4 linked regions of the Drosophila melanogaster genome follow. The protein of the gene in region 1 interacts with the protein of each later gene in a pairwise test. Each region holds a gene or a part of one and is shown in the gene's direction. Other genes may lie near its edges.

Region 1 (4,941 bases):
GATAGTTAACTATAAAAAGCAAGATGGGAACTTATTTATAAGCAGAAACATGAACACGATACGAACATGGGCAGAGCTATTTAATTTTGTTCATATTTCAACGGGAATTTTACAGCTTGTAATTGTTTACTAAAGACTGCTGCCAGTTTTAAACCATACAATTTAGTTTTTAATAAGTGCTTGTACTGCAAAATTTAATTATACCTTTTGTTTCGGTAAGCTTCATAAATCTGATCTTGAAAAACTAGTTAGTGCTTTAGTTGCTTTCCGGGAAAAGTTCTTAGTCAGCTGGGTTTTTTTTAATTCATTTTTTTTTTTTGGCGATAAATCACCGATTCGTCCCATTGTGCGTGACTGTGCGCTTGTAGTGGTGCTCGCAGAGTGCTTTATTGCATTGGGCTCGCATCGCCTGTCAGTCTGTCACTGTGTGTGCTGGTGTGCGTGCGCCTCTCTGTGTGTTCGCGCGTGTGTGTGTGTGTGCGACGTATCTGTGCCCGCTCAGTGCTCTGTGCTCAAATGCAATTTACAATTACGCGCGGCAATTGGAGCAGCTACCGTTGTGTGCGTGCGTACGTGCGGGATCATTGCACATTGCGTCAACGTTTCAAGATCACAATTACAATTACCCCGACGCAGTGGCAGTTGCAGTAGCACCAAAAAATCCATCTCAATTGCGAGAGAACCGAACAGTGGCAAAAGCAACCGAAAATTAAGTAAGGCACAGCAAATTTGTCGAAGAAAACTATCAACAATACAAGTAAATAAGAACGGCAGAACGGCCGCCCGCCCCCACAACAGCTGCTCTCCGTTGATGCGCCACTCCACTCCGCGGCTCAACGATTCTTCTATACAATTCTTCGAGCCTCCTCCCCTCGCCCATTCTCGCCCCACGAGACTCCCCTCCCCCCGCCCCCCACGCTGCTCTTCTCGATTCTTTTCGCCCCTCCCGCCGGCCCGCTGGAAAAAACGGGCAGAGCTGCAGAGCCGCAGAAAGCGATTTCAGTTCGGCGACGGCAGCGCACAGGTGCCATTCGGAAAGTGCGGACGTAGAATGTTTGCCGGGAATTCCAGTGGCATTTTCACCTATAGTTCCACTCGATTTTGCCTCGACGCCAGCGTTAGTAGCGCGTTTCGACGGAACACACAGATCGTTTTCCAACACCATAAGCACCATTTCACTTTTGAGTCTTTCCTTATCAGTCACTCCCAATCACTACCCAACCATCATCCACTACTCTTCACTAGTTTCTCTTTCTACTATCCTTTTTCTTATTATTCCCATCCTCCCTTTTAACTATCTTCACACACTCATTCTTAACGGAAATCTTCACTGTTTTTATGCTTTCTACTATCGTTCTATCCGCCAGCCTTTCACTTTTCACTCGCTTCTAACATTTACCATTCTAGCTATTTTTTTACCATCTCTTACCATTGAATTCTTTATATAAGCCTTAGTAAATTAGTATACAGAAAATAGTACGAATTTCCATTTTCCATTTTCTGCACTTTTTTCAACTTCTTCTGCTTACAACATCTTTCTTATCACCAATCCCATTACACTTTCTTGCATATTCCTATTTCATTTTTGCTGTTCTAACGAATCTCACACTTACTTCATTAGTCCCAACTCTTTGCTAACCTGGTGTATACATACCTTTACCCACCCCACCTCTACCCGCGATCCAGCCAATCCATCCATGTGAGATGAGTGCGTGCGACGGCGGTACGGGAACGGTTTCGCGAACGTCTGACGCCCCCGCTTTCCAATTCGATGTCATGCCAAAGATAACGACGTCGACGTCGACGTCGAAAGCGTCGGCAGCGAGGGCGAAAACGAAAACGACAGCAAAAGCAACAACAATTGGAAAAACAACAACGACGACAACGCGGAGAACGGTTAAAATTGAAAATAAATGGACGACGGCAGAGGCAACGGCGTTCAGTTATCAGCGGACAGCGGAGCAGATTGGAGCTAGTGCCCGAGCCAGAGCCAGAACCAAAGTAGCAGCTACAGTCAGAGCTAGAGCAAACCCAATTGCGGCCACATCCAATCAGCGAAGTGACATTGGTTATCCATGTGAGGTGGCATCCATCTCCGAGTTGGCCCTACGCAAGGCGCAGTTGAAAGCGCAATTTTTCGGCAATCAAGTGGGTGGATTAGCCCGCGATAGCGAGACAAGCAGCACCACTAGAATCACTCGCACCACCAACTACCGCAGTGCTTATCCCAGCTGCAAGACGGAACGAGGCAAGCCGGTGCAACAGCTAATCGATCAGTTCCAGGCCATGATTGTCCAGCAGCAGCAGCAGCAGCAGCTGAGCAACGAGGGCGAGCCCAAGACACTGCCCGGAGCCACTGCATCCAATTCGGATGAGGGCTGTAATGTCACCGGCGGCGGACTGAGTCCCTATAGCAGCGACAACGAGGATAACAGCCTATCGCCGAGGCAGCGCAAAATGAAGGTCACACGCTGTGCCAGTAGTGATTCCGCCCTGGGTCTGGACGTGGACGATGGCGGCATGGATGTGCCGTTGCCGCCACAACGTCGGATGACACTGACCGTAACGGATTTACCCCTGCGACCGGCCCTACTGCCACTGGCCGAACCCACAGCCCTGCCAGATTCGCCACTGACATCGCCCACCGGCGGTGGCAATCCGAGCGTGGGTGTGCCCACCAAGGTGCTGCTCGAGGAGCGAGTGGTAGCCGCACCGGGATCGCGACGTGAATCCACCCAGAGCTCGTACAGCGAACTGGGCGTCAGTGGACTGCCGCTGGGCGTGCGCTATGTGCGCACACCATCCGTCGTGGTTAGCGACTATTCGGATGACATAACCGCCTGCGGCATTAGCATGGAGGAAATGGAATACTTTCGTCTGCAGCGGGCGCGTGGTCAGCGGCGTTGTTCCCTGGAGGCGGGACATCACAGTCATAGCGGTGGACATGGCGCACATGGACACGGTGGATCGGGAGCGGCGGGAATGTCGCCGGGATGTGGCAAGGACGATGGCCAATCGGATGTCAGTGCAGCAAGCAGTTGCAGCAATCTCTACTATTGTGGATCCACCATTTCTGCCCTCGATGGTGGCGAGTGCATCGTGAATGGAGTTCGAGTTGCGCTCGCCAGGAAGAGCAGCACCCAGAGCAGCAGTCTCAGCGACGAGGAGGAGGAGGAGGAGGATGACGACGAGGATCGCGATGAGCAGGATCGCGATGAGGATGATCGCGATGCGGAGGAGATGCTTCAGGAGGATTACGAGCGGGGGGATCGCGAACGTGAGAGGGAGCGGCAGATCAGCGAACTAATGGCCGCCACGCAGCTTGGTGATCGTCAGCGGGATCGATCCAAGAAGGTAGGCGCCCGCGATGACGTCACAAACCAGGGAAATCTCAAACTAGACTAAAGAATTCGGGTTGGCAAAACGGACAAGTAACAAAGTGGAGCAGCCTAGTAAATTTAATATTAAACACTATTTTTTTTTTTTCGTTTTTAAATATCATTAATGATTGTTTGTGTTGTTGTTATCGAAAGCATAAAAGAGCAGTGAATGAGGGCAGGTCTGAATGGCAGCGAAAGAGATAAGCAAGTTGGTGCATATACACAGGGAGAAACGGGTGCTACGCGTAGATGAAATGTGGCATAATTAAAAAAAAAAAAAAACAATCTATTTTGCTCTAGAGCAGTATTATACCGTTTAGTTTATCAACTGCAAGACCATTATAACTATAGAAAAAGACTATAATAATAAGACTTTTACAATACGCATATCTATTAAATATAAAAAGAAAAAAAAAAACAAAGAAAATCCCTTGAACTACTGACTTGATAATGCGAATTACCACTAAGTTTCATCTTGTTTTAAAGATGATGAGATGATATATAGGCTCAAGAACGGTAATCCCGCGCCTTATCAGCTAATGGTTTTTCCACCTTGCATATGCAGGTCTTTTCTTTCAGTGTATGCGTTTGCTTAAAAGGCTATTAATTAATTAGAATTTTATCTTATCACTAAAATGAGGTTCTGTTACTCGGAGAAGTCTTTTTGTATTCTTCGCTTTTCGTTCGCTATAATAATTATCGTTTTTTTTTTTTTTTTTTTTTTTTTTTTGAGTGAATGAGAACGATATGATGGTGGTGATGTTGAAAAATAGGGGGTTCCTTGATAAAAAAAAAAAACAAGTATATATCTACGAAAATACGAAAACCTCGGATCCGTTGGTTTAATTCGTTTTTTTTTTCGTATCTAGAACTGCAAAACAAAACAACGGCAGCGATAGCGAGGAAAAGAGCTTATCTTAGTTAACTGTATACTGTATTATAGATAAATATTATGTACATATATAAGCCAGCACATATTTACGTTTATATAATGGCATCTTTTTTTTTTTGTGGTTTATTATTCCTTTTGTTGCTGTTGCTGTTGTCAGCAGACGGCGAAAAGTTTGTAAAGCAAATAAAAGTATTAGAAACCGAATTTTCGGAGTCATGATAACGATAATAAAGCAATTCACCTGGATATCTCATACATACATACATGTACATATGTGTATATGCAAGAGATATGGATATGTATGTTGTCTGATCGTATATGTATGTGTGCCAATGTGTGTTTGGTTAATAATGTTACGCGCTTATCAAGCGGGTTTATCTGCCTGGCATTCATATAGCAATATATGGTATATATGTATATATATACCCTCACCGCCGACAAAAGCAATAATTGGAGGCATCCCAGAAATGGCCTGTTGTTCTTCTACTTTTTTTTAAGCCACGGGCATGCGGCTTATATATGCTTAATACGATATACTATCTACTGTATAGTGTGGTTATATCTATGATGATCCCATCCGCCAGTCTAACACAATTGTATAAAGCTCTGTCTTACGGGTTGTTGTTTTTTTCTTTTATTTTTTTTTTTATTATTATTTTTTTTTCTTTG
Region 2 (4,408 bases), on another chromosome or scaffold:
ATTCCCATTTAAGAAATATTCTAAAGAGATTAGTTGCTTTAAGTGAAAAAGTCGAGTGTTTCGCAAACTCTAGCCGGGTTTTCCTGCATTTTCCAGCAAAGCAGTGGCCCAGTCGGCCAAATTAAGTCATTAAATGCCAGCGACTTCTGAATGCAGGCAGCCAAACGACAACAAGGCACGCAAACAGATAAAAATTATGGAGCAGGGGTTAAAGGAACAGGAATTCGGGGAGAGTGGAACCGAACTGAACTGAAGTGAACTGAACTAAAAGCCGGATTCGGTAGCGCCGATAATCAATTCCGTTTCCGGCTGACAGTTTGCCGCATCGTGCGTGACCCAAAATATGCATAAACAGCACGAGAAAAATAATAATAATAATAATTGTAATAATTTCGTGAGTCGCTAGTCGTTGGGGCGTCGTCAGGCGAGGGGGCGTGGCACGTGCTGCACAGTTACCGGGTTTTTAAAACTTTTGGTTCGCGTGCTCGCATGTCGAAAAACGTTTGGAAAAATCCGCTCTATTAGCCGCCAAAAAGCGTTGATAACGAGTTCATTGACGAGTTCATTGGCACATTGATTCACATTGATTGTATGGCGTTGGATTGGTGGGGGTTTTTAGCCCCAAATGCGGTTAGTGTGGCGGCTTAAATGTGCACGCTAATATCACGTTCTAAAGTAAAGCTAAAAAAAGAAGCCTGAAATGTATGTATGAAATATTTATGCTCTAAGACAATCAACTCTGCTATCAAATATTTCAATTAGAAAAAAAAAACTTATAAAAATTCAAATAAAAATAAAGGAAGTTTGATTAAAGAAATATTATTGTTTTAAATCAATATTTATTTTATTTAAATTTTTATTGTTAAATCCATTCCCACATTTTTATAAGAAATCTTAACCCCACTTTCTTTCCAATTCCAGTTACCAATCCTGGCTGCAGCGGCTTATTAGCCATGCAGACCATGTTCCTTCGGGCCATTCTAAGCCACATAAGGCCCTCGAATTTGCCAGCTGACTGTATTCCAAATCTCAGACCACACAAAATCGCTCCAGACGGATACGTGGGGCGAAAATGCCGCATCACCAGAGGAGCTGCAGGAGTAGTAGTATTTGAAACCCCTCCAATTTCCCTGCCCTTCAGTTGTCTAGACGCAAAACCCATTTCTATCCCACCAAAAAAAAAAAAAAAAAAAATTGTTCTCGTTGCGCAAATGTTGCATTATAGACTACGAGTAGAGTTCCATGGTGGAAGCAAGTGTGGCAGATGAGAATGGGGGCTTCGAGTTTAGATATAAGAACAGCCGTTACCAAAGTAGGAAAACTTATTAAAAATTTACAGCCCCAATTTTAGCTGTCAGCAATGTAAATTTCTCAGCTTGAATTTAAATGGCATTCTAATTTTTGCTCTCTTCTTGAAATTTTGTTTTAATTATTTTAAAGAAAACATGTGTTTTGTGCATTTTTTTTTAGAAGCATTCATTACAATTTACTGTAAATTCTTAAACATATTTGTGGCATTGCATGCCACGACCTCGTGTTGCGTGGCAATTTGATGAATGTGCTCCTTGATTAACCCTGATCCCGGGTCAAACCTCCTCGAGGTGGGCCTGAAAATCAGTGGTAAGACCTTTGCATGCAGCTGGAAAATTTTAGAGGCAAGCAAAGTTTGCATAATAAATAAAGGCGATAAGAATGCTGTCCGGCTTTGTTTATGTTTATGTTTCTTTGCCTTTTATTTTTATGGAATACCTAGGGGCGTTCGAAGGGAAACTTTTGTGGGTGGCAAATACTTTTTGCGCCTCGAATCAGATCCCAAATGCCTCGAGCTGTGGCCAGAGTTGTCGTGGCTTTGAAGATTTCCGCACAGAATGCCTTTTGTTTCGGTGCTATCGGAAAAAGTCAAGGGTCAAATTGGCCTTTGAACTTTTGTTAAACCTGCCGTACGGAGTTTTAGCCAGTCAGTCAAATGATGTGAAACAAGTCGGGTCAATTTTCTGTACACAAAACCAAACAAAACACCGTAAACTCAAATTTTCGACCTGCAAAATGGAAGAGACCGAAATTCTGAAAAATCAAAATGTGCCACAAACAGACAAGATGAAAGCAGCAAGTGCACATAGTGAACACAACGAGCTGCATTTTATGAATCACTCATATTCAGAAGATTCTAAAGAATCACTTGGCCAAATGAGTCTTGAGCAAAATAAGTTCAGCGCGGTCAAGAATCTTACGAAACAGCAATCACATCTGCACAATTCGGAAGAAAGTCGAGCACAGGAAAATACAAACGAAATAACTAGGAAACCCGCAGAAACTGAAAAAAAGCGGGACATTTCCAGTAACGAGAAAGAAACGAAATATTTTGTTTTAAACAATTCTAATGAATCAAAGGAACAATACCAGGCAGAAGCAAAGATAGAAAGGAACAAATGCAAAGAGTTAATTATTGACAAGATCTCTGATGAAACTATCTCCCCGAAAACTAAGGCACAAAGTCAAATGAAGTTAAATGATGCCGTTTCTGATAAAACGCTTACCATTGAGAATGCCCGAAAATCAAAGCAATTAATTGCAGAAGAAACGTTAAATAGTCCCAAAGAAGAAAGCTCAAATGTCGTGGAAAATTTACCAAGCTCACCAGAAAAACCAGTAAAGGAAGAAGTTCAAGAAGCCAAGGAACAGGATACCATCATACCGCAATCCGAGGAAGTGAAAATCGAAAAACTGGATCAAATGGAGGCAAGTACTTCATCGGCAGCTCAGGAGGCGGAAATGAAAAAGCCAAACGAAGTGATGCCTGGCAAAGAGGAATACATTGACCCAAGGGAAAAAATCAGGAAGGACATGGAAGAATATTTTAGTGGCATTCAGGCTCTGGAGGTCAAGAAGACAATTCGCGACGAGCTGAGTGCAAAGGAAGGTGAAGTCATTTTAAGAGAGGATCAGCGAAAGAAAACCTGGAAGGGAATGCTTCTATCAGTGACCCACACAACCTTATCTACATCTACGTAAGCATATATGGTTTATACCATATGGCATATAATACTTCAACTTATATTTCTTTACAGTAGTCACAGCACATCTTCGGGTAAGCCGCCAAAATCCGCCGTACAAGCCATACCACAGCGCACCGCCAAGGCGGACTTCAAAAGGAAAATGTATGTCCTTAAGGAGAACTACAATTATCGATTGGAGCTGCTAAAGCAGCTGAAAAATGACATGAAAAACAACTACAAAAGCGAGGCCCAGCAACTGTATATCCACTATCACTCCATTAAGAACCAGACGTTAAATAGCCCCCCTTTAAAAGAGATGCTAGACGCAAAAGAGGAATAAGTGGATCCACCACCAAAGATAGGATAATATCACACCATCAGTTTCTAGATCGTTGCTCCATCTAGCACAGACTCACACAAAAGTAATGATCAAAATTAACTAAACACACTACATTTATCTACAATGAAAGGATTGTTATTCCTGCTACTGCTGCTACTTACTGCTCACTACACTACACACTCAGTACAAGCACAATTTTTACAACATACACCCTACTTCATTTTCTAAAAAATATCCACAAAAGTGTTGCCGGGCTTTCCAAATCTAGAAGAATATAATATAACCTAGAACCCGAGCCCCGAAATCATAGCTACGAAGTGGGACGACCTGCCGAAAGGGGGATTCAATGGGACTGTACCTCTTGCATTCATTGTGTGCACTTGCTTCTTTGCATCTTGAAGAAGTGCATCTGTATCTCATTTACTGAGCTTCCATGGTACAGTCACCACTCTGAACGCCCCGCGGTATGCAACAGTATTTCTGTGCTTTGTATATGCCACAAACCTTAAATTTTCGCCACTTCTGTTTTGCATGTCGAAATAAAAGCAAAGACAATGAGAATTGACCCAAATACCTGGCTCTATTGTAATTTTGCTCCTTTGGTATTGTAATTTATGGACTGCGAAAGTGATGGTGGTGGGGCTTTTTTGGGGTCGCAGCAGCCAAGAGAAAAGTGGAGCAGCGAAGTGAACAAAAGGTGTCCGTTGGTATTCACTTCATATTGTTCCACTGGCTTTAAAATTTAATTCAGCAGGAAAGTTGTACAGTAATACTGAAACTTGAGGGATACTTGAACTGGGAGTTTCACATGATTTTTCCGCTTAAGGAAAACTTTAAACTTTCCAAATACCAAAGAATTGATCGCCATGGTGGTGAGTGGGAATCGCTCCACGGGCGGCTAATCCGTTCAAAGCTGCCAAAAATCTGCGTCGTTTTTCTTCGATGTGACGCACAAAACGTAGATGGTCCGGATGAGGAGGAAGAGGAGAAGCTGGGCTCAAAGTGGCGGACGGACGGACACTCGTGGCAGGCGCTTAGCAACAGACAGACAAAGCTTCAGGCTTAAGCCCAC
Region 3 (7,343 bases), on another chromosome or scaffold:
ACAAGGTGCAGCACTACAACGAGTACAAGGCCCTGATCACAAGCATCTTCGGAGAGCTGACGCCGGAGAACAAGAAGCGAATCGAGGATCGGATCAAGAAGCAGCAGGCAAAGGCCAAGGCGGATGCGCAATCGAAACCCAGTACTAAGCCACCAGCCGCTCCACCAAAGGGCGGTTCGTCGCCGCCACCAGGTAAGGGCGAATCTGGAGGAAAAAAGAGATCCGATTCGTCTCCATCTGCGTCTATAGCTCCTACAGGTCCAGCACCCCGTAAGCCACTGATCAGTCTGCCAAGTAGACCTCCAAGGGGTGGAAAGCAGCGGTCCGGCTCGGCTCCAGCTCCTAATCTGGTTGATGAAGATTCAGCTGCTCGAAATAGGGAACCAGATGCTTCTGCATATGATGGCGCATCACCGTCAGCTTGGAAGAGATCGGGCTCTGCTCCAGCACCGAGTGTAGTTCCCAGGGCATCGGCCTCCCGCAGTCCGTCTAGAAAGTCACCTTCACCCTCTCACGACGGCATATCTCCTTCTACAAGACAAGAATCCTTAAGCAAAAAGAAATCAGGGTCGGCTCCAGCTCCGACGCCAACTTCTCGTGGACCATTCCGGACTGCGCCCTCCAATACAGAATTCATAAAGCGCAGACCTGCTAAAGATTACGGCAGTAGAAATGAAACCCAAAGCACTCCCGGGGAGTCGGAACTGGACCCAACAAAACCACAGCCCTAGTTTGAATCCTCCTTTGTAAGTCCACCAATAAAGATAGGTAATAGTTACAGAAAGAATATAAATATAAAACTTTACTTGTAATATCAACAACTTGTGGAGGCGACGCCTCCATTGTCTTTTGCTCAGTACTTCCAAAAGTTTGGATTCTGTTCCATGCGACGCTGGAAATTCGTATACCAATTTTGAACGACGGAGAAGGGCACAAAGGTCTCGCTCGAGATGGGCGGGATGTCTCTGGCTGCCACTCCGAAGCTGGAGGCGTAGTTGAAGAAGTTCTCCAGCATTCGCTGACCAAATTGCTTGTTGTCGTTGGCAGTGGACTGAAAATTGGAAATGGGGTTAGATTTGAATCGCAATTATTGCGCCAATCAAATCGGTTGGCAACTACTGATCTTCAGAACTTACCACGGCTGGCGTCTGTTGGGCCACCGTTAGCTCCGGTTCGAGGGAAACTCCAATCTGTGCGATGTGTGAGATCTCCTGGCTGCCGAAGACCATCCCGTGAGCCTGGGCCTCCAGCTCGTGACTCTTCTTCAGCTGGGCGATTTTGAAGATGGCGGAGGGCTTGGTGTTGTTTATGTGACCCAGATACTGCCATGTGGGTGCTGCGTTCGCGTCCGGCCAGCTGAAATATATCGCAGCGGAGGTGCCGACGGGCAGGGGTGATACGCCGGTGAGGAATACTACCAGGTAGTTGACGGATTCTATGTCGGGCACATTCACGAGCAACTTGGTGGCGTCCACGGCCACAAAATCCGATTGGGGCAGGCGTCCGGAGACTATCAGACCGAATAGCGACATTTTCGAGCGGTGGACTATTCCAGAATTCGATATGCCCGCTTTGTTGGGGGAGGAGATGTTATGGAGATGAGCAAAAAGGAACTACCTTATCGATGCTTTCTTTCCTAATGGTGTACAGCCCACTACGTTTCTAACAAAAAAATATATTGAAGTATATTGGAATTTGTTGCTTGCATATGTTCTGACAGTTGATGCATATTCCAAAATCCTAAAAAAAGATTTTTTTTTAAATTTTAAATGGAACTAGTTCAGGCGACTGCTACTTGGCTTGCCATTCACAGCGATACGGCAACTCCAAACAGCTGACGCTGCCATGCGAATGCTGATATCGTAGCAAAAACACAGGGACGGTGCGAAAGAAGAGGGATTTTATTTTGTTTTCGCCTGGCAATTGAGTAATGGCCGGACTCCTTCACCTGACCAAGCAGTGCAGCATCCACCTACCCGCCCACTTGGGACGCGCGAAATGCTACACACTCGCTAAGGGACCGGGAACACACGTGCAGGCAAGAGTGGTGAGTGCTCGGCCTCTAGACCCATTTCAAGGCCACCTGCCAGACTATCTAGACTAGATTACGGTTTCGTAATTACGCGTAAATACGCAATAAATTGGCGGTTTGATTGAGTGGGGACAGCCGGCGATCGGCGGGGAAAACAGTCTGCGTGTGCGTTGTTTTGGTCCTTCTCCACTTCCATCCGATCAATCTTGAATTAATGCTCCACGCTATGGCTTATTTCGTTGCAGCAAGCATAGAGTTAGACCAAAACAGCGCGCACGCACACAGACTTGGAGGATCGATCGGGTATTGGGGACAATGGGTCGCACGCAGCGTCGCCGGCATCAGAGGGCCAAGAAGTCTGACGAGAATTCGGGCTCCCTGCACGACCTCTACGTTCATCTACACTCCGTTGGCTGGCAGAACCACACTCACTTGTCGGCCCAATACTACGAACAGACAGGTCGAGGACTATGCTCTAAACAGAAGACCTTTTCTCCGGAGGATGAGCTCATTCGCCTGCCCATTGGCTGTCTCATAAGCATAGCGACTCTGGAATCTGATGGGCCATTCAAAAGTCTTTTCGACGAAGAGTTATTTGACAAGGACTCCAGAATTTCCTTTCAGGCACTGATAGCCTGTTATATTTTGTACCACAAGCACTTGCAGGAGTGTACGCTAGGGACTCACTCCTCTACTTACGCTGCATATTTGGACACCCTGCCCAGGTGCTACTCCACTCCGTATTTCTGCTCCATACCCGAGCTACAGTGTCTGCCAGAATCCCTGCTAGAGCGGACCGTGGCCCAGAACCGTCAGATAAGAGGTTACTTTGAAATTATTAAGAACATTGTACACAAATGCGATTGCTGTGGGAAGAGCTACGGCCAGGAGATTTGGACACTCGCAGACTTTAAGTGGGCCTACTTCAGCGTGAACACTAGGAGCGTCCACCTCAGTTCCCGCTTTCTGAAAAAGCAGAGCAACTACTTTCAGCCGCTTATCAGTGGCGACACCAACCTGGCATTGGCTCCGTTTCTGGATCTTTTTAACCACTCAGATCAAGTGGAAATCACAGCAGGGATTGAGGGTCCCGATTACGTTCTTACATTGAAATCTCTGCCATTTTCCGAGACCAAACCATATGATCAATTGTTCATCAGCTACGGTGCTTTGCCCAACTTTAAGCTATTGACGGAATATGGCTTTTGGCTAAGAGAAAATAAGCACGATTACTTTGAAGTCTCCCTACTGGACATTGAGCACATGATTAAGCAAAACAAGGAGCTATCAACGCAAACCTTTCACCGGAACATCTTTAAATTCATCAGGGAGCACAATCTGAACGATCAAATGTTCGTGCACATCGACGATGGATGCTCTCACAATCTAAGGGTTGTGCTGCACCTGATCTTCAAGCAGCAGGCCTACTTTCCCAACATCCTCAACCAGATTGCCTTTGGAGACGCCGAGCAGTTTCAGGACGTGCAGCCAGAGCTGTCGTACCTCGTAGAATATAAAATAAAGGAATACGAGATCTTTGGAGGAGAGCTGGATAAGCTTCCTAAATTGACAGAAAGTGGTGCAGTGGCACGGTCTTACCTCCAAGAGTGTATCCGTTACCTCGTTGACTTTCAATCGGTGCATCTAGCTGCATAGAAGCTGTCTAGGCTGAGCTTAGAATTTAAAACAAGGCGTTTAATATTGAAATGAATAGTAATAGATGTTAAAGAAAAACTACTTAAGTTTATATTATTTGAGGCATTTAAATTTTTTTTAATAAATCACAGAAAACTGTAAACTTTATTTTGTAAATGACCCCTTTCAGCTGTACTCTTCGCTGACTAAGGTTGATGATAAGAACAGCAGCGATGCCAAGCGGAAGAAGATTACCCCGTTTACGCCCACGCCGGGTAGCAAGCTCCTGGGTGGAGTATTCGGCAAGAAGGCCAAAGGTAGGTGCCGTGGGGCAGCATCAGTTACCCAGTAAATAACCAATGCTCGAGTATCCTGATTAATACAGCACCCCTGCAGATATCCGCAGGCTTTTTATTTAGTACTAGCCTCTCACGCTTTTTTTTTATTGACTAACCAACCCAAAATTGATTTTGTTTTGTGGACCGAGTACGTGCGTCCGTTTGTTTCTTTGTTTGTTTGTGCGCTTGTTGTGTTGAGCGCCTGTCTGAATTTGGCTGCATCCAAGTGAATTCAATGCAGGTGGAGCCCCAGCAGCAGCAGCAGCAAAAACAACAACGCTACAGCGGCAGCGACCTTACCGCCCACAACAACAGCAATCACGACTATGTCATGTTCATATAGGGGGCGGCAGCGATGGTGGCTCGGGATTGGGCAAGCTAGACGCGCCGGAGGTCACCTCCAAGGATATGCTGCGTGCCATGATGGCCTACATCTGGCCAAAGGAGGATCCACTGGTGCGAAAGCGGTAAGTTCATCTGACTATGACTGAGAATACTTTAATATCTATTGTTTTCCAAATTGACAGGGTGGGTATTTCCCTGGGTCTGTTGGCTGGCTCCAAGCTGCTGACCGTCTGTGTCCCCTTCTTGTTCAAAGGAGCTGTGGACACGATGACAACGCTGAACATGGACACTGCCCCGGATGCGGTCCTCTCCGCAGCCACCGCACTGATGTTGGGATGTAGGTTTCTTAGCCTGAGTTCCCTATCATAAAAGATCTTAACTGTCTAATTCACGCAGATGGCATTGCTAGAGCCAGTGCGGCGGGCTTTAATGAGTTGCGGAATGCAGTGTTTGCCAAGGTGGCCCACCACTCGATCCGAAAGATCGCCAGCAATGTGTTCCTGCATCTGCACAACCTGGATCTGGCCTTCCACCTGAACAAACAAACTGGAGCACTGTCAAAGACCATCGATCGAGGATCGAGGGGCATTAACTTTGTGCTCTCCGCCATGGTCTTCAACATTGTGCCCACTATCTTTGAGCTGGCCCTCGTGTCCAGTATCCTGGGAGTGAAGTGTGGCCTGGCCTTCGCTGGTGTCAGCATGGGCTGCGTTGGCATATACGCTGCCTACACTCTGAGTGTGACCCAGTGGCGCACCCAGTTCCGTGTATTTATGAACCAGGCGGAGAACGAGGCCGGCAACAAGGCCGTAGACTCGCTGATCAACTACGAGACGGTGAAGTACTTCAACAACGAAAAGTACGAGGCGGGTTGCTACAACGAGGTGCTGAAGAAGTATGAGGCGGCCAGCTTGAAGACTAGCTCCAGTCTCGCTCTGCTCAACTTTGGCCAGAACGCCATTTTCAGCAGCGCACTGAGTCTGATTATGGTATTGGCCGCCAAGGAGATTGCCCAAGGCAACATGACGGTTGGAGATTTGGTGATGGTCAACGCCCTGCTCTTCCAGCTCTCGATCCCCCTCGGTTTTCTGGGCAGTGTTTATCGTGAGGTGCGACAGGCTTTGCTGGACATGCGGGCCATGTTCACGTTGATGAACGTGGACAGTAGCATTCAGACAGCCGCCAATGCCCAGCCCCTGTTCGTGGACACCACTAACTCATCCATTGAGTTCCGCAACGTGAGCTTCGAGTACGAACCTGGCAAGCCCATTTTCCGGGACCTCAGTTTCACCATACCCGCCGGTAAAAACGTCGCCATTGTGGGCGGCTCTGGCTCAGGAAAATCGTCGATGGTGCGCCTTCTCTTCCGCTTCTTTGAGCCAAACTCTGGTAAAGTGTTGATCGGTGGCCAGGATATCAGCGCCGTGGATTTGGAGAGCCTGCGCAAGGTTATTGCAGTGGTGCCGCAGGATTCGGTGCTATTCCACAACACCATCGAGCACAATATCCACTATGGCAACCTGTCCAAGTCCCACGCAGAAGTGCAGAATGCTGCCCGCATGGCTGATTTGCATGACTCCATCATGAGCTGGCCAGGACAGTACTCCACTCAGGTAGGCGAACGTGGATTAAAGTTATCCGGTGGCGAGAAGCAGCGCGTTGCCATCGCTAGGGCCATACTGAAGAACACCCCCATTCTGATCTTTGACGAGGCTACAAGCAGTCTGGACTCGATCACCGAGCATGTGAGTGTTGAAAGCGACTAAGTGAACTTCTATAAACTGACGGAATCGGACTTCTTCCCTTTGTAGAACATTCTGCAGGCTCTGACCCGCGCTACCTCAGGACGCACTAGCATTTGCATTGCCCACCGTCTCTCGACAGTCAAGGATGCGGACGAGATTCTGGTGCTCGAGAACGGACGTGTAGGTGAACGTGGCACCCATTCGGAGCTGCTGAGGCAGAATGGACTGTATGCCCGCCTCTGGGAGACGCAGACGCAGCAGTTCGACCCGAGCCGGGAGATCAATGAGGAGGTGGCAGCGAAGAAGACGCGGGGCGTGGCGTAGACGAGGCTCCTAGCCTATTTATGTGTTTGTTATAATGTTATAACCATCCCCTTCGTTTGGCAATCCCTAGCCACTAAATTCACCGTAGAATCCTCCTGGACCGGAGATTCGCTATTCATAGGCTTAAAGTATCATTGTGACGTTTGTAAATACAGCTGTAGATATGCGATAAGAGAAATTGAACGGGATGTGGTACAATATGGAACATTTATTATCAGTTTTATCACCCATACATTCGGTTATATCGCTCTGGTTTCCAAGGTTTTGTTTCGAGATTTAATTGATTTGAGCGTATCGTTATGTAAATGCAAAATAATGTGATATTATTAAATGCATTTCATTGATATATAGACAAAACCAAGAGGATTTGTGTATATCCTTCAAATCGGACCTTCATTTCTTCAATATAAATTGTTATCCTCTGATTTATAGGCAATATAGGTTTTGAATTTGCTTAACCAGATTTAATATCGAATCTAGATACGGCTAAAACCGAAATAGTGCCGATGGTTAGCCTTCTCCTTCAATCTCCCCCCTTTACGGCCTGCGGAATGGGCACATCGTAGAGCAAGTACATTAGGCAGTTGCCAATGTGGCCCAAAAACTGCTGGTAGTTGGTAACCCGATGCTGGAACTCCTGCCACAGCGGCAGGACAGACCGCTCCTCGGTATCAGGCTGTTCTATCGTGATGCCCTGCTCCAGCATCGTTTTGTTGGTGTATGTGAACAGATACGAAGCTGGCTTCTGGCCAATGGTGGTGACCAAGTGGGTGATGTTGCTCTCCAGACCGATGCTCTTGCCGGCTGTCAGGAAATAGGCCTCCGGATCCCGCTCGTTCCGGTACCGAACATTTCCCTCAAGAATGGTCAGCGTGCAGTTGATAAGGTCCGGCGAGATGAAGTTGGTCAGAGTTAGTCCCGGGA
Region 4 (7,800 bases), on another chromosome or scaffold:
CGGCGCACATAAAAATTCCGGCTACGTTTACGGCGTGGACTACGCTTATAAACAAAGTTTGTTAATATTTCTTCGCCAACGGACGCGAAACTCGCCTCGCATCTCGCGCGTGAAAATCCATTTAGTTAAATGCTCGCAGGATGCGGAAATCACTTTCGAGATTCCAGAAATAGTACGGCATTTTAAAATCAATTTTCCAAACAGTTATTAAATGCTTGTCTATGGACAAATGGTTCGGAGAGAAACGTCTCTGGCTGTTTGGTAACCACCTTCCACTTTTGCCCAGAAGGTAAGTCGAACTTGGCATTGCATTGCATTGAATGGTAACAAAAAGTGCTATCCAAACATTTTTTCATTGTTTTGGCCTAAACTTGAACTTCAAGATTGGCGCGCAGATAGAGTGTTGCCCCTGATATTGTTTTGCTTAACGTCGGGCCTTGTGAATAACCAACCCTACAGTAAATAGTAATCATCGTATGAAAACATTGTGTGTCTCTAACTAACATTTAGATACCTTCTTTGAACGCCTTTGAAACTGACAGTTAAAAGCTACTCAACTTACACAAGATCTAACCAAGAAGCCACAGGACCAAAAAGGACAAAAACTCCAATCAAATTGAATTTCAATCAATGCGAGTATATGTGCACGGAAAAAAAGATGCAGAAGAACAAAAGCGAAAAGAGATGAAATCAAGTACAGAGACATCAAATTGCATTGAAATGCGTTCGGAGCTTGGATTTGTCTCCAACATCAACCCACTTACCATCCGAATTCTGACAGGCCAGACAAGCAGCTCTGAAGGAATATTGCATACTTATGGGAACGGATGATGTAGCGGTTTTTAATGCTTTTGATCCAAGCAGACGAAAACCCTATTTTCGGCAAATGTCAACGACACTTGCGTTTTGCTCGAAAGGAACAGAGGGAAATGTTTTTTTGCTGGAATACATATCTGACTGAAATAGAATAAGATATTGCCCATCAGACTGTAAGCAAATGATTGATACATAACACTTGTACTCGCACACTTGTTCATGAGAAGGTTTTTACAAGTCACATACTTTTCTTTGGTAATTATTGATAAGTTGTTTCAGGAGATGGATAGTTATATAATACAAGACAAGTTCATGATCATGACCCAGGACCCAAGGAGCGCAATTCATGCTGTTCTGGTAGCAATAACAATTTGATGTGTTTCATACATTTCCTAAGTTTATTTATGTGAAATTAGTAAGGGTTTTTTAAACTTTAATCAAGTTTATTCACATTGAATTGCCATGATCCCAAGATCTAAACGTTCATTGTGCTCAAAAAATGTTATAATGGGACTGCTTTGCTTATATCAGCACTTTTGGTGAATGGACTTTTCAACAGCCGCGAATTAGAATCGCGTTTTCGGTTTGCCAGCAGGATACTTACATTTGTTTGGCGCTTTCATGGCATTTGACAGTCGCTCTCATTCCCACAGTGGATGCCAAAACTCACAGGTGCCCGCCTCACCTTACATAATTGAATCCCCGCAAGCCGTTTTTTTCCCTCCAGCTTGCACCACTGATTTCGTGTGCCTCGCTGTGGCATGTGGCAAACTCTGCCTCATTCGCCTGCCGTCGCAACTCTCACTTCTCGCATTATGCGCCTGACTCATTTGCATGTTCCTTTGGCTTCCCCCGGCCGCATTTTTTCTGACCCAAAAAAATCTTAAACAATATGGAAAAGCATTGCCGGCACGAGACACGTCAGAAACAGAGCCGGTTTTTTGCACCTGTTTGAGAAGGAATGTCGCTCCATGCATAAAGTATTCATGATGTCCGTTGCATTTGAAATCATGTATCGATAAAATAAATAGACGAGAGACCGTCGAAGTGCAACTTAGTTATCCTGAGACCCTGCAGCCGTACGAACGCCTGGCGACGTGCAATGTTTCACAGCTCATCGTTCTACTTGCCGCAATCGTTACAGAACTCCTTCCTCTACCGCCTCATTCAGAAGATCCAGGTGTGCAATGAGCCGGACTTAGTTGAGACCAGGCAGTACAGGTGGGTCGATTAGCGCCGTTCGTGGCCCTAATTAGCTTTACCAACTTTTTGCGGAATGAAAGTGAAATGCAGTGCTAAAACGGGCAGAAAGGATAAACTTTTCCCAATGACATTTGAGTCGCTGCTGGTGGAGGTGGTGTTGCAACGGCCTTGGCCTTTCATTTCACACGCATATGCCTGCTTCGTCCTCCAAGCGCTTCAGCTCTGCTATCCCCGTAAGTAGGCAACGCTTTTTGCACAGACCTCGCACAAAGTTTGGGACACTCGGTGCGTGTGTGAGCATTTGGCATTAATGGCTTGTTATTTATTGCATTTTACGCTTGTTTTCCCAAAGGCCACGTCAACACAACCCTTACCAACAACCCGCAATATTTATATGGCCAAAAGGTTCAGGGACTTTACAAGGCGATGTTAGAGGTTTTGCTAAAAAACTTTACTTACTTGACATATTATTGCTATTTTAGCAAGTACAGACACTTGAAATAAACCCACAAGGCAGTACGAATATTAAACATCTAAAAATGTGTGGTTTCTCTAAAAATAAAGACCATTCAGTCTGACTTCAGTAAGCTAAACTCGTATAAGTAAATTTCAATTTTAAGTATCTATTTTAAAGGCCAGCTAAATGTTCCTTTTTCTTAAATAGAAGTGCTTTAATTCTCCTCTCATTCTTATATAATACCCATTACTAAATAAACTTTAGCGCTGCTATATCACACAAATACCGGGGGTCAGTATCAGAATGGTAAATAAACGAAGAGCCATTAAGCTGGGAAGCATTGACCCCAACATTGAGTGCAAACATCATGACAACGACATGAACAAATAATTGCTATGCGCAAACAACTACATAGAACAATAAATACAAAAATATAATTAAAAGCCACAAGAGCCTAGAATAAAGGTAAAATCAAAGTGGGAAAGGTTAAAGTGCTTTCGCGGAAAACAAAAGCTGTCAAATGTATAAGGCAAGCAGATGGTGTTTAAGTTGGAACGGGGTCGACGGGAGTTCTCAGTAATTATGCAAATCAGAAATCAGTGGGGTGCTGTCACTATACTTTCATACACTTCTTAAAGGTAAATTTCAAGGAAATTAGTTACCTAATACACCACACCGGTCAAAGAATTCGTTTTATATACATATACCTTACATATTGCTTATACAGTATGCGTGATTATGGTTCCTAATTTATGTTCGACGCTCACCTTCGTGTTTTTCCACTGCACTTAAATGCATTATTAATGAAACACGCAAGACCAAAACAAACAAAAACATAGGAATCAAAGTCGCCATTGGCCAACGCGGCGTATGTGCGATGTCCGCTGATGCAACCGAGCTGCTACCAACTCCGTCGCTCTCCAAACTCGTTTCTAGCCAAAAGCACCTCAGTCGATTGCCGGCTCTTAACGTCTTCACATCGTGTAGTTCTGCCAAAAAGTTATAGGGCTCTTTGTTTGGCCCAAGTGAAGGAAACACGGAAACAAACCAAATATAGACAAAAGGTGAACTGGAAAAAATTCGATACTGCAATGAAAATGTTTGAGATTTCTAAATTGTTTTCCCTACGAAGGTATGAGCAAAAAAAAAAAAATAAACAAAATTAAAAAAAAAAATTAACATTTATTATTAACATCATAACTTATCTTATTTGCCTGTGAACTGTGAAAGTTTTAAAGTTTGGACAGCTTCGAAAAGCAAACACAATAAGTGACCCCTGGCAAGCAAATTAGCTGCACAGCAATACTTAAGTTATTCAGCCAGGAAAAGCCATCCCTAATACTGTTATAATTGCACAGCGATTCAAACATTAATTAGTAATAAGGACCCCAAATAGAATCCACCCCCGAAGCGCCCACGTAGCGCGTAGTTACGACAAACTTATTGCACTGCTGCACCAGTTTAGCTATATGGAATCCTCCAGCAATCTGTGTCAAAGAACCCGGTTCATAAGCGACTCCCCTGCCTTCTCCTTAGACAGACGACTCCAGCAGGTAACCTCAAAATGTGTAGTGGGAAAGGAGCTGGGAAAGCTGGGAAAGAAGCACACCTTGAATGTCTTCCGGTAGTCGCTAGAAAAAACAACAAAGGGGAGAAACTTCTTGAACAACTTTGGGGGCAACTGCGCATGGATTTGGTTTTGTTGTGGTTTTTTGCTTTGTTAACTTTGGTCGCATTGCTATGACATTGGCCAGTGGGGTGGAGTCGACCTGGTCGACATGGGGCACAGGTCGGCTCTAGCGTTTCCCCCATTCGGTGCTCAGTTGTCAGACAAAACATACGTCCGCTCAAGCGGTCTACCCATTCAAATATTTATTGATCGACAGGCTTGGCGGAATATTCGGCGCATGGTGTGTATCGTAGACTTCCCCCAAAAGACTTTAATCAAATACATATATATATATATATATATGTCCTATTCATTCACAATTCAATTACTAACTCTAGTGGCAAATACGTCAGATATTAGCCAGATGGGTGCCTAGGTAAGTCATCTGCTTGCTACGTTTTCGGTGTCCTGTGTTGCTTTCATTTATTTGTGCCACCAACCAGCACCACCATCATAAGCACACAAATATTTAATTGCATGCCATGTTTATGACCCACACACATGTTAGCAAAAGATGCAGAAAGGCCCAAGCAGGGTTCAGTTACCCCGTTTAAGGTTTTGTGGCTGGCATTGAACTGTCAACCCGTGAAGTCCTCGACCAGACCGGTAATGCCAATTTCAAAGGAGCACGCTCTCGAACACCTGGGGCTACAAAATCGATTTAGTTTTCGTGTTCACGCTAGAAAGTTAATTACCCTCGGTTTCTAATCTAATACTAATGGTACAATTCTGAATGAACAGAATAAGTTATTTTAATCTTATTTTCACTTAAACTGTGTAAAAATGTTAGAATTCATTAGTCCATACACTCAAATCAATGACAATTCCACATAGGGTTATGTTTACTTGGGTCAAAAAAATCGATTTAGTTCTCGTGCTTATAAATGGCAGAGTAGTAATGATTAGGTTGTGTATCTAATGGCAATTGAATGTTTACAATATCGATTTATTTGATTAGCTATAATAGCTGCATTTAGATTGGAAAAAGTTAGCAGGAAGAAGTTTATATTGATGTACTTCGGCACATTTTAATTTATTATTATTACATTTTATTTAACAGTTCCTTTGGCCCACCAAAATTAACGTTTAAACCAAATAACTCATTCTAAAAGTTCTCTCATTTGTTGTTTGTTTCATTCCATCGAAATCGACTAACCAAATCATACCGAATTCGTGAAACCAAACCTCCAAAATGTTCTGGACATCCCCAAAAAAAAACCAAACCTATTCAATATAATAACTTGTACATATATGCATACACATCAAATCGTAAGACAGCCCTTGAAATAATACCAGATCGAATATCAAATCACTTCATACTCGCTCGCATATCCTAGAATGCAAGTTCGCCCCTGTGAGTCCACATGTGTTCGTGTCTGAGGTATCAAACAGAAAAATTCTTGAACATTTTGTGTGCCCAATGCAAAGCAATGCGACGTGCAAACATCAAACGTGGTCAATGTTTGAGCTTAAGGTAAAATCCACTCCAAACTCAAACTGAACGTTAGCCGCAATCGGGGTGGGAATTCCGGAATAACTCATACCTGTTAACTTCCTTGCAGACCACAAGGTAGCAGCAAAATGGATCGCTATGAGAAGCTCAGTCGGCTGGGCGAGGGCTCCTACGGTGTGGTCTACAAGTGCCGGGATCGGGAAACGGGTGCTCTGGTGGCGGTCAAGAGGTTTGTGGAGTCCGAGGATGATCCAGCGATTCGTAAAATTGCACTGCGAGAAATTAGGCTACTGAAGGTAAGCCTTAATAACTTAAATCACTTGAATCACTTAATCACTCGAAATTTCCTGCAGAACCTGAAGCATCCGAACCTTGTCTCCCTGCTAGAAGTGTTCCGACGGAAGCGACGCCTCCATCTGGTCTTCGAGTTCTGCGAGCTGACCGTGCTGCACGAACTGGAGCGGCATCCACAGGGCTGCCCGGAGCACCTGACCAAACAGATCTGCTACCAGACCCTGCTGGGCGTGGCCTACTGCCACAAGCAGGGCTGCCTACACCGCGACATCAAGCCGGAGAACATTCTGCTGACGGCCCAGGGTCAGGTGAAGCTGTGTGACTTCGGCTTCGCCCGGATGCTCAGTCCGGGCGAGAATTACACGGACTACGTGGCCACCAGATGGTACCGGGCGCCGGAGCTGCTGGTGGGCGACACTCAGTACGGCACTCCGGTGGACGTCTGGGCCATCGGTTGCCTCTTCGCCGAGCTGGTCCGGGGCGAGGCCCTCTGGCCAGGACGTAGCGATGTGGATCAGCTCTATCTGATCCGCAAGACGCTCGGCGACCTGCTGCCGCGCCACATCCAGATCTTTGGACAGAACGAGTACTTTAAGGGCATCACGCTGCCAGTGCCGCCGACGCTGGAGCCGCTGGAGGACAAGATGCCGGCCAAGTCGCAGCAGAATCCCCTGACCATTGACTTTCTCAAGAAGTGCCTGGACAAGGATCCGACCAAGCGCTGGTCCTGCGAGAAGCTCACAAAGCACTCCTACTTCGATGACTACATCGCTAAGCAGCGCGAACTGGAGCACGTCAACAGCCTGGAGGCGGCCAATCTCCGCCAGCAGCAGCTCGCCTCCCAGCAGTTCATGCTGGCCACGGCGGCCCAGCAGCTCCAGACGGGTCCTGCTCAGGCGGCGGCCATCGCGGCGGCCCGGGATAAATCAAAGGTGCGTACGGCAGTCCTCTCAGAGGATAATTCAATCTATTAGTATATCCTTTCGATTACAGACTTCAAACACATCACTACCGCTGCTGCCTAGCACGCAGCATCATCATCACCCGCATCAAGATTACGTGAAGCTGCAGCCCCTGAACAAGAATGCAAACCTGCTACATCGCACCGAGCATCATCTGCCCACAATTTGAGTTTGAGCAGAGAATTTGTAACGAAGTAATGTCCTTGAGCGAGAATTGAGCCCGAAATTTAACTTATTTACTGCTGGGAATAAATGTGTAAAAGTAATCCATTAATATATCACTGGGTGGAACGTTCGTAAACACTTGGCAACTCATCCCTTCGGGCCGAACTGAATTAGTAACTAAGTCTAAAGTGCAATTTTCAGCTGTCATCAAATAAAATGTGCTACATAATGTTTTATTCCATAAATTTTCAATTCCGTTAGTCCATGAGATTCGCAAATCACTCCAGGTTAATCTTTAATTCACTTTCCAGTTGCGTCCTGGCTCGAATCCTTTTCAGCCTTGCACACACACGTACATCGAATTAAAAATCCTTGCAGCATGTCGACTAGTCAAACGGTTACATTCCACCTCCAACTCTCACCTACTTGTTGAGCCTGGTCTGGATTACACATTTTTACATCTATTTAACCAGGAGCGGATTGGGAACAGCGGAGCCCTTTTAATAGAACATTTATAATTATATAATGTTATAAGTTCGTTTACTTTATATTTGATTCAATAAGGTCTGTTTTGCAGTCCTTTGATATATATACATGAACTGCTTGATACCCTCTTTTGAGGCTCCGCTCCTGAAGTATTTCATCGTCGACAGATATCGCCTCCTGGCGTCCATACCACGTTTTTTGGCAGCTTAATCCAGTGCTAAGCACACGGCAGATAATCAGCGACACGTATCGGCTTTCGTGTATCCTAGTCGTGTCCCAAGGACTTTGTTGATGT

The links.
Region 2: the proteins of IP3K2 (region 1) and w-cup interact in a two-hybrid assay, tested with the Drosophila melanogaster proteins (one large-scale study listed by BioGRID).
Region 3: the proteins of IP3K2 (region 1) and ABCB7 interact in a two-hybrid assay, tested with the Drosophila melanogaster proteins (one large-scale study listed by BioGRID).
Region 4: the proteins of IP3K2 (region 1) and CG7236 interact in a two-hybrid assay, tested with the Drosophila melanogaster proteins (one large-scale study listed by BioGRID).

Annotation. Positions count from the first base shown.
Region 1 is NC_004354.4:13,303,594-13,308,534, forward strand, and holds the start of IP3K2 (inositol 1,4,5-triphosphate kinase 2), read left to right. Parts: upstream 1-1,921; 5' UTR 1,922-2,286; coding exon 2,287-3,354; exon of another isoform or gene 3,355-4,411; intron 4,412-4,941.
Region 2 is NT_033779.5:10,575,356-10,579,763, reverse strand, and holds w-cup (world cup), read left to right. Parts: upstream 1-1,971; 5' UTR 1,972-2,046; coding exon 2,047-3,008; intron 3,009-3,068; coding exon 3,069-3,336; 3' UTR 3,337-3,904; downstream 3,905-4,408.
Region 3 is NT_037436.4:1,616,571-1,623,913, forward strand, and holds ABCB7 (ATP binding cassette subfamily B member 7), read left to right. Parts: upstream 1-1,843; 5' UTR 1,844-1,930; coding exon 1,931-2,047; intron 2,048-2,277; exon of another isoform or gene 2,278-2,347; coding exon of another isoform or gene 2,348-3,688; exon of another isoform or gene 3,689-3,827; intron 3,828-3,857; coding exon 3,858-3,984; intron 3,985-4,246; coding exon 4,247-4,472; intron 4,473-4,532; coding exon 4,533-4,687; intron 4,688-4,746; coding exon 4,747-6,095; intron 6,096-6,161; coding exon 6,162-6,419; 3' UTR 6,420-6,843; downstream 6,844-7,343. Other genes in the region: CG33791 (uncharacterized protein), read left to right, coding at 1-731; CG13926 (uncharacterized protein), read right to left, coding at 854-1,051, 1,137-1,532; CG33230 (uncharacterized protein), read left to right, coding at 2,348-3,688; GC (gamma-glutamyl carboxylase), read right to left, coding at 6,943-7,343.
Region 4 is NT_033779.5:5,706,531-5,714,330, forward strand, and holds CG7236 (uncharacterized protein), read left to right. Parts: upstream 1-1,860; 5' UTR 1,861-1,918; coding exon 1,919-2,037; intron 2,038-3,419; exon of another isoform or gene 3,420-3,567; coding exon of another isoform or gene 3,568-3,608; intron 3,609-5,372; exon of another isoform or gene 5,373-5,509; coding exon of another isoform or gene 5,510-5,619; intron 5,620-5,707; coding exon 5,708-5,894; intron 5,895-5,951; coding exon 5,952-6,824; intron 6,825-6,885; coding exon 6,886-7,023; 3' UTR 7,024-7,261; downstream 7,262-7,800.